3 linked regions of the Xenopus tropicalis genome follow. The protein of the gene in region 2 interacts with the protein of the main gene of each other region in a pairwise test. Links are inferred from orthologs where the notes say so. Each region holds a gene or a part of one and is shown on either strand. Other genes may lie near its edges.

What was found.
Region 1: the proteins of lnx1 (region 2) and dnpep interact in a two-hybrid assay, tested with the Homo sapiens proteins (3 studies listed by BioGRID and IntAct). The link is inferred for Xenopus tropicalis from reciprocal best matches to the Homo sapiens genes LNX1 and DNPEP.
Region 3: the proteins of lnx1 (region 2) and pomgnt1 interact in binary tests that used the Homo sapiens proteins (3 or more experiments, as listed by UniProt). The link is inferred for Xenopus tropicalis from reciprocal best matches to the Homo sapiens genes LNX1 and POMGNT1.

The regions. Positions count from the first base shown.
Region 1 is NC_030685.2:83,817,130-83,820,306, reverse strand, and holds part of dnpep (aspartyl aminopeptidase), read right to left. Parts: intron 3,105-3,177; coding exon 2,937-3,104; intron 1-2,936.
Region 2 is NC_030677.2:39,751,685-39,755,341, forward strand, and holds part of lnx1 (E3 ubiquitin-protein ligase LNX), read right to left. Parts: intron 1,834-3,657; coding exon 1,462-1,833; intron 1-1,461.
Region 3 is NC_030680.2:92,988,386-92,992,142, forward strand, and holds the start of pomgnt1 (protein O-linked-mannose beta-1,2-N-acetylglucosaminyltransferase 1), read right to left. Parts: upstream 2,571-3,757; 5' UTR 2,489-2,570; coding exon 2,369-2,488; intron 1,370-2,368; coding exon 1,267-1,369; intron 603-1,266; coding exon 487-602; intron 1-486. UniProt on the Homo sapiens protein: Participates in O-mannosyl glycosylation by catalyzing the addition of N-acetylglucosamine to O-linked mannose on glycoproteins.

The sequences.
Region 1 (3,177 bases), on a different chromosome or scaffold from region 2:
CTCAGCTCCCTAAATCCCCAACCGTCCGATTTCCCCTCTGCTCCCTAAATCCTCAACCGTCCGATTTACCCTCAGCTCCCTAAATCCCCAACCGTCCGATTTCCCCTCAGCTCCCTAAATCCTCAACCGTCCGATTTCCCCTCAGCTCCCTAAATCCTCAACCGTCCGATTTCCCCTCAGCTCCCTAAATCCCCAACCGTCCGATTTCCCCTCAGCTCCCTAAATCCCCAACCGTCCGATTTCCCCTCAGCTCCCTAAATCCCCAACCGTCCGATTTCCCCTCAGCTCCCTAAATCCCCAGCCGCCCGATTTCCCCTCAGCTCCCTAAATCCTTAACCATCCGATTTCCCCTCAGCTCCCTAAATCCCCAACCGTCCGATTTCCCCTCAGCTCCCTAAATCCTCAACCGTCCGATTTCCCCTCAGCTCCCTAAATCCTCAACCGTCCGATTTCCCCTCAGCTCCCTAAATCCCCAACCGTCCGATTTCCCCTCAGCTCCCTAAATCCCCAACCGTCCGATTTCCCCTCAGCTCCCTAAATCCCCAACCGTCCGATTTCCCCTCAGCTCCCTAAATCCCCAGCCGCCCGATTTCCCCTCAGCTCCCTAAATCCTCAACCATCCGATTTCCCCTCAGCTCCCTAAATCCTCAACCGTCCGATTTCCCCTCAGCTCCCTAAATCCCCAACCGTCCGATTTCCCCTCAGCTCCCTAAATCCTCAACCGTCCGATTTCCCCTCAGCTCCCTAAATCCTCAACCGTCCGATTTCCCCTCAGCTCCCTAAATCCCCAACCGTCCGATTTCCCCTCAGCTCCCTAAATCCCCAACCGTCCGATTTCCCCTCAGCTCCCTAAATCCCCAACCGTCCGATTTCCCCTCAGCTCCCTAAATCCCCAACCGTCCGATTTCCCCTCAGCTCCCTAAATCCCCAACCGTCCGATTTCCCCTCAGCTCCCTAAATCCTCAACCGTCCGATTTCCCCTCAGCTCCCTAAATCCTCAACCGTCCGATTTCCCCTCAGCTCCCTAAATCCCCAACCGTCCGATTTCCCCTCAGCTCCCTAAATCCCCAACCGTCCGATTTCCCCTCAGCTCCCTAAATCCCCAGCCGCCCGATTTCCCCTCAGCTCCCTAAATCCTTAACCGTCCGATTTCCCCTCAGCTCCCTAAATCCTCAACCGTCCGATTTCCCCTCAGCTCCCTAAATCCCCAACCGTCCGATTTCCCCTCAGCTCCCTAAATCCCCAACCGTCCGATTTCCCCTCAGCTCCCTAAATCCCCAACCGTCCGATTTCCCCTCAGCTCCCTAAATCCCTAACCGTCCGATTTCCCCTCAGCTCCCTAATTCCCCAACCGTCCGATTTCCCCTCAGCTTCCTAAATCCTTAACCATCCGATTTCCCCTCAGCTCCCTAAATCCCTAACCGTCCGATTTCCCCTCAGCTCCCTAAATCCTTAAGCATCCGATTTCCCCTCAGCTCCCTAAATCCCCAACCGTCCGATTTCCCCTCAGCTCCCTAAATCCCCAACCGTCCGATTTCCCCTCAGCTCCCTAAATCCTCAACCGTCCGATTTCCCCTCAGCTCCCTAAATCCCCAACCGTCCGATTTCCCCTCAGCTCCCTAAATCCTTAACCATCCGATTTCCCCTCAGCTCCCTAAATCCCCAACCGTCCGATTTCCCCTCTGCTCCCTAAATCCCCAACCGTCCGATTTACCCTCAGCTCCCTAAATCCCCAACCGTCCGATTTCCCCTCAGCTCCCTAAATCCTCAACCGTCCGATTTCCCCTCAGCTCCCTAAATCCTCAACCGTCCGATTTCCCCTCAGCTCCCTAAATCCTTAACCGTCCGATTTCCCCTCAGCTCCCTAAATCCCCAACCGTCCGATTTCCCCTCAGCTCCCTAAATCCTCAGCCGCCCAATTTCCCATCAGCTCCCTAAATCCTCAACCGTCCGATTTCCCCTCAGCTCCCTAAATCCTCAGCCGCCCAATTTCCCATCAGCTCCCTAAATCCCCAACCGTCCGATTTCCCCTCAGCTCCCTAAATCCTCAGCTGCCCGATTTCCCCTCTGCTCCCTAAATCCCCAACCGTCCGATTTCCCCTCTGCTCCCTAAATCTGCACAGGGGTCACCGAGACCCCAAATACTCAGACTTGGGTTTGCTTTCTAACTCCGTTGCCCAAGTCCTTGAGTGAGTTATTGAGCTCGATTCCCCATTGGCTCCCGATATTCTCTTCCCTGAAGCAGTGACCTATAAACCAGGGTACTTGTATGTTATGAGAACCAGCAGTGCAGTCTCCCTGGGTGGAAGGGTTTATGGAGCTGCCGCTGATAAGGACAAAGGATGAGGAGGGATAATCTGGTAAAACAGAAGGCACTTTCCGTGCTCTGACACAGATCAACCCAACGATCAATCAATCCGTGATCAACACCTCCCAGTTTTCCCAGCCAGCCTATGGTTATCAAGAAAGTCTATGGTTACGGCTGGCTGAGGATTCTGGGAGATTTAGCTCAGAGACAGTGAGATTTAAACTGATCTGTTATCCCACTGCAAGATCTCTGGCTGGAGAGAATACATCCAATGGCAATGAGATGAGGCAGTAGTGTAACCCCCAGCTGGGGGAATGAAGGATTTCCTTTCTACTGAAACATATTTATGGGATTTGAGGGCATTGCTTTTTGATATTGAGTTAAGACTTGAAATTAAAGGTCAACAAAGTAGTTGATAGAGTAAAACAATTTAATTGCCCTTTTCCCAAACCGTAAAATGCTAGTTGTCCTTTCCGTTTTCTTCTGGACTGTACCAAGTTCCTTCAGATGGGGGAGGGGGAAACATCTGAGCTTGGTACTGTTATTAATACAGTAAATATTGCTTCATTGGCAATAGTATAACCCTGAAAATGCCCCATACTCATAGCCCCATGTGTTATGTTCTTACCTGGAACAAGGTGGAGGTCTGCAGGACCCCGGAGGTGCAGCACATCTCCCGCACTGAGTGCATGGCCAGCTGGGGGCAGCCCAGGTCCAGTACCCGCAGGCCCAGCTTGCACGCCAGGATGGGCCCAATGGTGGTACCGCAGGGCGCGTCATTTCTCACCATGAATTCCTGGGGAACAAGAGCCACAGTGCGAAACGCCCAAGTCAGAAACACGATGGCAATAAATTCCCGGTTCGGCCAT
Region 2 (3,657 bases):
AGAAAGATCTTCCAATTAAAAAATTAACATCTGATCTTGACAGGTTTTAGCTGGTGTATTTTTGCATTCAGGTTTGTTGGGGTTTTTTCATACAATAAATTGCGACAAAATCTATTTTTTTCCGTGACAAGAAAAAAAAAGAGGGAGTGAGACAGGAGGAGCGAGAGGAAGGGGTACAGGGTGGAGGAATAGCTGCCCGAGGAGAGCAGCAGTGAGATGTGCTGTCCCTTTAAGTTATAAACAGCATGATGTGAAGTAGTAATGTACCAATTTAATTTGCAGTTTGGTCCCATAGGAAAATGACCAAACTGTAGATTATACAGGAAATAAAATGCCCTCTATTGTAAAATTAGTCACCAAGGAGTTCCATGACTGTATAAAGGCACAAGGCCAAAGGCCTTGTAGAAAACGTCTTTCTTCCTTCACATAGTCATAGCTACTGGGGTATCCCAATCTAACTGCCTCTTAGCGGGTAGAACAGCCAATTATAAGCAAGTGCAGTAGTCATATCTGAACTAAAATCCGGCAGAAGAGTGAAAGATTAGCTATGAATTGTATAGTATTAATAATACTGGGTATGCTAACAAATGCTATAAACACCTCAGAATCCATGGAATTTCTAGCCTTTAGAATGTTTTGTAACTGCTCATCAATTTCTAATATCCTTATTTTACAAGCAGGGGTTACAATTTCATATTTATCCATATCATTTTCTTACGTGTAACAGTGAACGTATACTACATTGAGCCACAATCCACGCTATGTTAAACATTAAACTCTTGTTGAACACCAAAGCAAATTAATGTCTGGTTTTACTTGGATTAATTCAACTCACATAAATATTGGAAAGGATTTACCATAATGTACATTGTGCCTGATCCGATGCATTTTCCTTAGACACTGAAGGGGGTAATACAGAAATCTGAAATGTATTAATCAGCTCCAAGTGCTAGTTATGCACGAGATGTCATGATAATGCATTATAGAGCATGTAAGCCTGCAAGTTTTTTTCCTATTATATTACTTTTTTGGTGTAGCTTTGCTTATAACCTATATCGTAAGCATAATATTAGCTTTATGCAGTAGGGTAGTAGTTATCAAAGGTTTCAGTTCAAGTCCCAGTTGAAAGTCCAGCCTTTGGTCAAGGACTCTCTTAATGGTTGAACCTTTGGTCAGGCCCACCCTAAGCTCATGAAATGAGCACAGATACAGGAAAATATTGGTTTATCATTTATAGGTTCAAAAATATCTGGGACAGCAAATACATACTGATCACAAATCTCACCCCAACTGACCTCCAAGTTAGACTTTCAAGTATATCTAGGAGAATATATAAACATCCTCCCAAATTCTCCCCCAAACTTGCCTTCAGGCTGAGCCCCACATGCCACTGCTCCAACCCCTGTAGGATGGCCATCCCCCTAGTTTGGGAGCCACTGTGATAGGATAACAGTTACTCACCTGTATGAGCTGGGCTGCAATTTCAGGTGTCCCGTTGCGTAAATCATGTCCATTAATTGACAAAACCCGATCATTTTCCTGCAAATAACCATCTCTTGCAGCAACGCCTCCTTCCAGTAGATTAAAAATGTATATTCCAGGCTCGTCTCTTCTTCGGACCAGTTTTATTCCTAGCTGCACATCATGGCTGCTTTTGTTTAATACAACATGGATGCTGTCATCTTGTGGACTGTGTTGTTCCATGTTGACTCCATTGGTTCGACACTTGTACCTCTGTTCTCGGAGGACTGTAAGCCTTAGCACTTTGGAAGGCTGTCTGAGAACGGAAAGGGCGTATGTGTGAGGCACACTGCTTATATCAATGCCATTGACCTGTTCAAAAGAATGTAAAGGAAAATATTAAATTATTTTTCTTTCTTTAAATACTAACCAATTTATGTGGGTATAATTACTGCAGTAACAGAATACAACATATTTAGGTACTACAAACCCCTACCCAATTCAATTTTGTTGAAGCTGTGCAGTATATGGTCCTTCTATAAAGTTACAATTTAAAATTTACATTTACAATTTAAAATTAGAAGAACATATATTCCTTAATCAATGGTTTTACACCAGGTTCCAATTATAGGCACTGTATAGCCACAATTTAATCAACTTAAGAAGCTCAAACTTATGCTTAGGATTAAATACTCTGTTTCATTCTATGGGTAAATATGTTATGGCTCACTGTAGATATGGATGTTTTAGAAATAACTCATGATGCAAACAAAGTACTGGAATGAAGGAAATAGAAGACCATTGTTATCGTGTTAATATGTGAACTTGGAAGCATTATTAGGATAGCACTGGCAGAGAGCATATAAAGAATGGAAGCTGAATGATGAGCTATGAGATGACAATGAATGATTTCCAGCTGACTGACCCTATGAAATGTTATTAAAGATGACATTGTTCAGTTCTCTTGTGTGTTTCACAGAGTATGAGAGGCAAATGGGTGATGCTTGCCCACTTGGGGAAATGTGGCACTTTTAGGTTACCATAGTGTTAGGACATTTCTATACTGTTGTGCCCATTTCTACAAAAAGGGTGGGGGGGGGAGTGGAGCACAGCTTTGGGTGGCTTTGTGTTATGTATATCAGGAATAAATGAACTTCCGAAACCTCCCTTATGTGTTTACATTACTTAGTATGCCTGAAAATGTTTGAATAAGTATACCCCCCAAACAATACAGGTCTCTATAAAAATATATTACATAAAACAGCTCATATGTAAAACCCTGCTTCCTCTAAATAACCCAATTTTCATAAAATATACTTTTTTAGTACAGGTATGGGATCCCTTATCCGGAAACCCGTTATCCAGAAAGCTCCGAATTACGGAAAGCCCGTCTCCCATAGACTCCATTTTAATCAAATAATTCAGAATTTTAAAACGGATTTCTTTTTTCTCTGTAGTAATAAAACAGTACCTTGTAATTGATCCCAACTAAGATATAATTAATCCTTATTGGAGGCAAATAATCCTATTGGGTTTAATTAATCTTTTATTGTTTTTTAAGTAGACTTAAGGTATGGAGATCCAAATTACGGAAAGACCACTTATCCGGAATACCCTTGGTCCCGAGCATTCTGGATAACGGGTCCCATACCTGTACTACAGTGGCTTGCAAAAGTATTCGGCCCCTTGAACTTTTCCACATTTTGTCACGTTACACCCACAAACATGAATCAATTTTATTGGAAATCCACATGAAAGACCAATACAAAGTGGTGTACACGTGAGAAGTGGAATGAAAATCATACATGATTCCAAACATTTTTTACAAATAAATAACTGCAAAGTGGGGTGTGTGTAATTATTCAGCCCCCTTTGGTCTGAGTGCAGTCAGTTGCCCATAGACATTGCCTGATGAGTGCTAATGACTAAATAGAGTGCACCTGTGTGTAATCTAATGTCAGTACAAATACAGCTGCTCTGTGATGGCCTCAGAGGTTGTCTAAGAGAATATTGGGAGCAACAACACCATGAAGTCCAAAGAACACACCAGACAGGTCAGGGATAAAGTTATTGAGAAATTTAAATCAGGCTTAGGCTACAAAAAGATTTCCAAAGCCTTGAACATCCCACGGAGCACTGTTCAAGCGATCATTCAGAAATGGAAGGAGTATGGCACAACTGTAAACCTACCAAGAC
Region 3 (3,757 bases), on a different chromosome or scaffold from region 2:
GTTCCACAGAGGATGTTTCAGGGGGCAAGAGTAAAAAAAAAAAAAAAAGTTTTAGAAAAGTGGTGTAATAAACAATACAAGAAGTTCTTGTTATAAAAATCATAAATATGGCAGATACAGATTTCAACCTGTGCGTCTAAACTACAGAAAGGAAAGTCTGTCAAACAAACCCATGAAGGACAGAAAGGGCCACAACCAGAAGGTTGTGAAAACTGGCAACAAAATGCCAGAGGGATACTTTTGTACAGCAACTTCTTTACAACATCAAAAAAAAAAGGCTAAAATAAAGTCCTCTTTTGTGCATGTCAACACTGTAAAATATAAAACAAAGGTTTCCTATGCCCTTTTAGGGTGGGAGTGCTAAATAATGCGACACCTGATAAGCTGTTTCTGAAAATCAATATTTGTCAGAATTAAATGTTTGCTTTTATCTCACTGGAATCTTGCCTTTCTGCATATATTTCCAAAGTTTAAGCCAAGACTTACTGTAGTTCCATCCACAGCTATGTAAACCTTTGATCTGCTTGAGTAAATTTCAATGTCCAGCACTTTCTTACTGCTGGCAGGTCGACGTGGGGAATCCTCTTGTTGCAAAGATTCATCTGAGTGAAAAACAAATATTTGCAAAAAAAAAAAAAAAAAAAAAGCTTACCAGCTTGCACTTCATATTATACATCCAGCATAACTGAACATATAATACTATGTGTAACAGTGTACTGTTTAATGGTCTTTTGGTTTATGTATGCACTGGTAACCTACCTCACAAGATTTTGTTGCTCTGTTTAACTAGAGTAAAAAACTGTATATTGTTTTGTGATTAAAACCATACACAAAAACTATGTTCTGTTCAAAGTCTTTATCTTTACCGTTCTTTCTTTCACACAATAAAAAAAACAGCAAGTAAGCTTATTTAAAAAAATAAAATTAACTCATCTTAAGACTGATAGCACACCAGAGTGCCTTTTAGTCAGCTGCAAACCACCAGAAATCACTCCCTGCTAATCCCCCCTGAACTGAATAGAAAAAAAGCCTGATTGCTATGTGGTGAAAAGCATAAAACTGGGCCAAACCACAAATTCGGGTTCAGAGACTTAGTCAGTAATTTGCAAATAAGAAAAAATTCCCAGCATATTTTAAGATGTTGATTTGTAGATCACAAAGATCTCCATTTGAAAAAGCATCACCCAGAGTTAACTACACTAAACTTAGATCCTTCATCTATGTCTTAGGTAGTATGGAAATATGTGCCATCCTTTATAGGCTTACCATAGTCCTGATCAATTTCTTCTTCATTTACTGCTCTTCTTGTGTCCAGTATAAGCTTGATGTTTACAATAACTGTTACAAGTAGGAACAAAACAGCTGTTGTCTTCATATAAGGAAAAAAAAACACAACAGATTATCTTATGTACTAAGTATCTTGTAAAATGATTACACTCACAGTGGAGGGACGCAGCTCTGAATTCTGTACTATAGCATAGGATAACCAATGTAAACTAAAATAAAGAATGTTTTGTCTCAGCTATGTCTGAGACATGCAAAAGAATTTCAAAAGCCATGGATGAAAATAGGCCCTTTCAAAACTAACCACTACAACACAAGATGGGAATACCTGGTGGAGGAAAGCATTAATTCAATATATGACTAAGAACCTCAATAACTAATAATTATAATGCAGTTTTACAAAAACTGTATACAAAATCAGACTGCTGTGACAATTGTTTTTTACAATTAACCCAGAGGAAAAGTCAAGTGGAGAAAAAAAGGCTGGTCACACTGACCTGTCATTATAGTTTGGTAAAGTATTACTTACAAATTATATCCTAAAAGCAAGCTATTTGGGCTCCATAGTTTCCCAACCCTTTACACCACTAAGTGAAAATACCTAACGCTAGAAGTATTTTAAAGTGCAAACGTTACAGCATATTATATATCAGGTAATGTACTGTTCCACATATTTTGCTAAGATTTTGTACTTTAGCTACCCAAGTTTTCTTCATTTGGCAAAGCTGATTTTTCTATTCACTCCAAATCCTAAAAACAGGACGCTGCCAACTTTCCCCAACACCATCTAGCGGCATTGTCAAGGCACTTCTATCATGATTATATTTACCCCTTATTTTGCTTTCATCTGTGGCAGCTATACATTGTATGATCTTGAACGTGGATCATGCAAAGTATCATATCTGCTCTGCAGAAAGTAAGATTTCAGTTCAAAGTATTTCAATCCAAATAGTTGGCAGAAAATGACTTCTAAAGAAATTAAATCATTCTGCATGCATACAAATTACACAATGGCATGCAGAGTGGGGTGTGATTTCTGGGTGTGTTAATGCTTCCCATTTTTTGTAGAAACCCTTAGACTTACTTGACACATACGTCGTATAGCCCTCTGATTGCTCATTTTATATTTCCAGGCAAGGTACCAACTACGCTTCTTATGTGGCAGAGGGAGCTTTGAATGGGAATCTGGGTCCCACTCATCCATTGTTTCTAAGCAGGGCCAAGTCCTTTGTAGGCCTGACTTCTGTTTTCTCTAGTCAGGGGCATCCATAATGCTAGATGTTTTTAATGGGCAGAGTCCTGTAAAAAAAAAAAAATTTCCTTATCAATCGGTTTCTAAGTAGGCACAGAGACAGTATATCCCAGAAAGAGACAGTGAATATCAAAGAAGAAATGTCACCAATAACCACAGCTGATTTTTAATAAATCTGTTCCAAATATATCCTTTTGTTTGGATGTTAAGGGGAGGCAGGCAGTACTGCACTAACTTGAAACCTAGCGTGCCTGCATGTTCTTTTTCCTACACAGCTTTTGTACTGCTCGTTTGTCACAGAAGTTTTAGCCTGTATAGCTGCAAGGGGACTGGATAGGCAGAGGGGGATTAAACTTCACCCTCTATGTGTATACAGCTCTACGGGGACTACACCTTATGGGACAAAACGTGCAGCTCATAAAGCCGTAAAGGTGAGAGAACACAGAAACCCTAGCTCCCGTCTTCCCTTCCCAAGCTCACTGACAGCAAAGATGACTCGGCCAATCCAAGTAAATGAATGCTGCACCAACAGTACCGATGTTCCCAACACAGCCCGCAGCCCCGGCTCGCTACTTACACCTCCCTCAAAGCTGCTCCTAGCAAGCTCCTTACAGAAAGACCCGAAGCCACAAGTCTCATCACGCGAGACTGGGGCATCACAACGTAAGCGCAGTGACGTAGCAGCTCTGTGTGAGTGACGAGCGGAGACGGCGCAAATTAGCGTTCAATGATTTGCCGCTAGTAGTAAGCGGCTGTGGGTCGGTTAGCAATCTGTTTTCTTTTCTGTTCGCACTACTTAGGGTGAAGACACACTGAGCTAATAGTAACAGCTACTTGTCACAGCTACATAAATAGACAATGCTGATCATTTACTGATAACTGTCTCTATGGGGCTGATTTACTAACCCCCGAATCCTAATTGGAAAAATTCAGATTGGAAAACGAACATTTTGCGACTTTTTTCGTATTTTTTGCGATTTTTTCATTGTCGTTACGACTTTTCGTAAATTGTCGCGACTTTTTCGTAGCCATTACGATTCGCTCGTATCTTGTGGCGACTTTTTTGTATTGTAGCGGCGGGCGAAACTTTCAGACTTAGCATGATTTTGGAAGCCTCCCATAGGACTCAATGGCACCCTGCAGCTCCAACCCGGCCCAAGGAAAGCCTCCCATAGGGCTCAATGGCACTCTGCAGCTCCAACCTGGCCCAAGGAAAGTCTC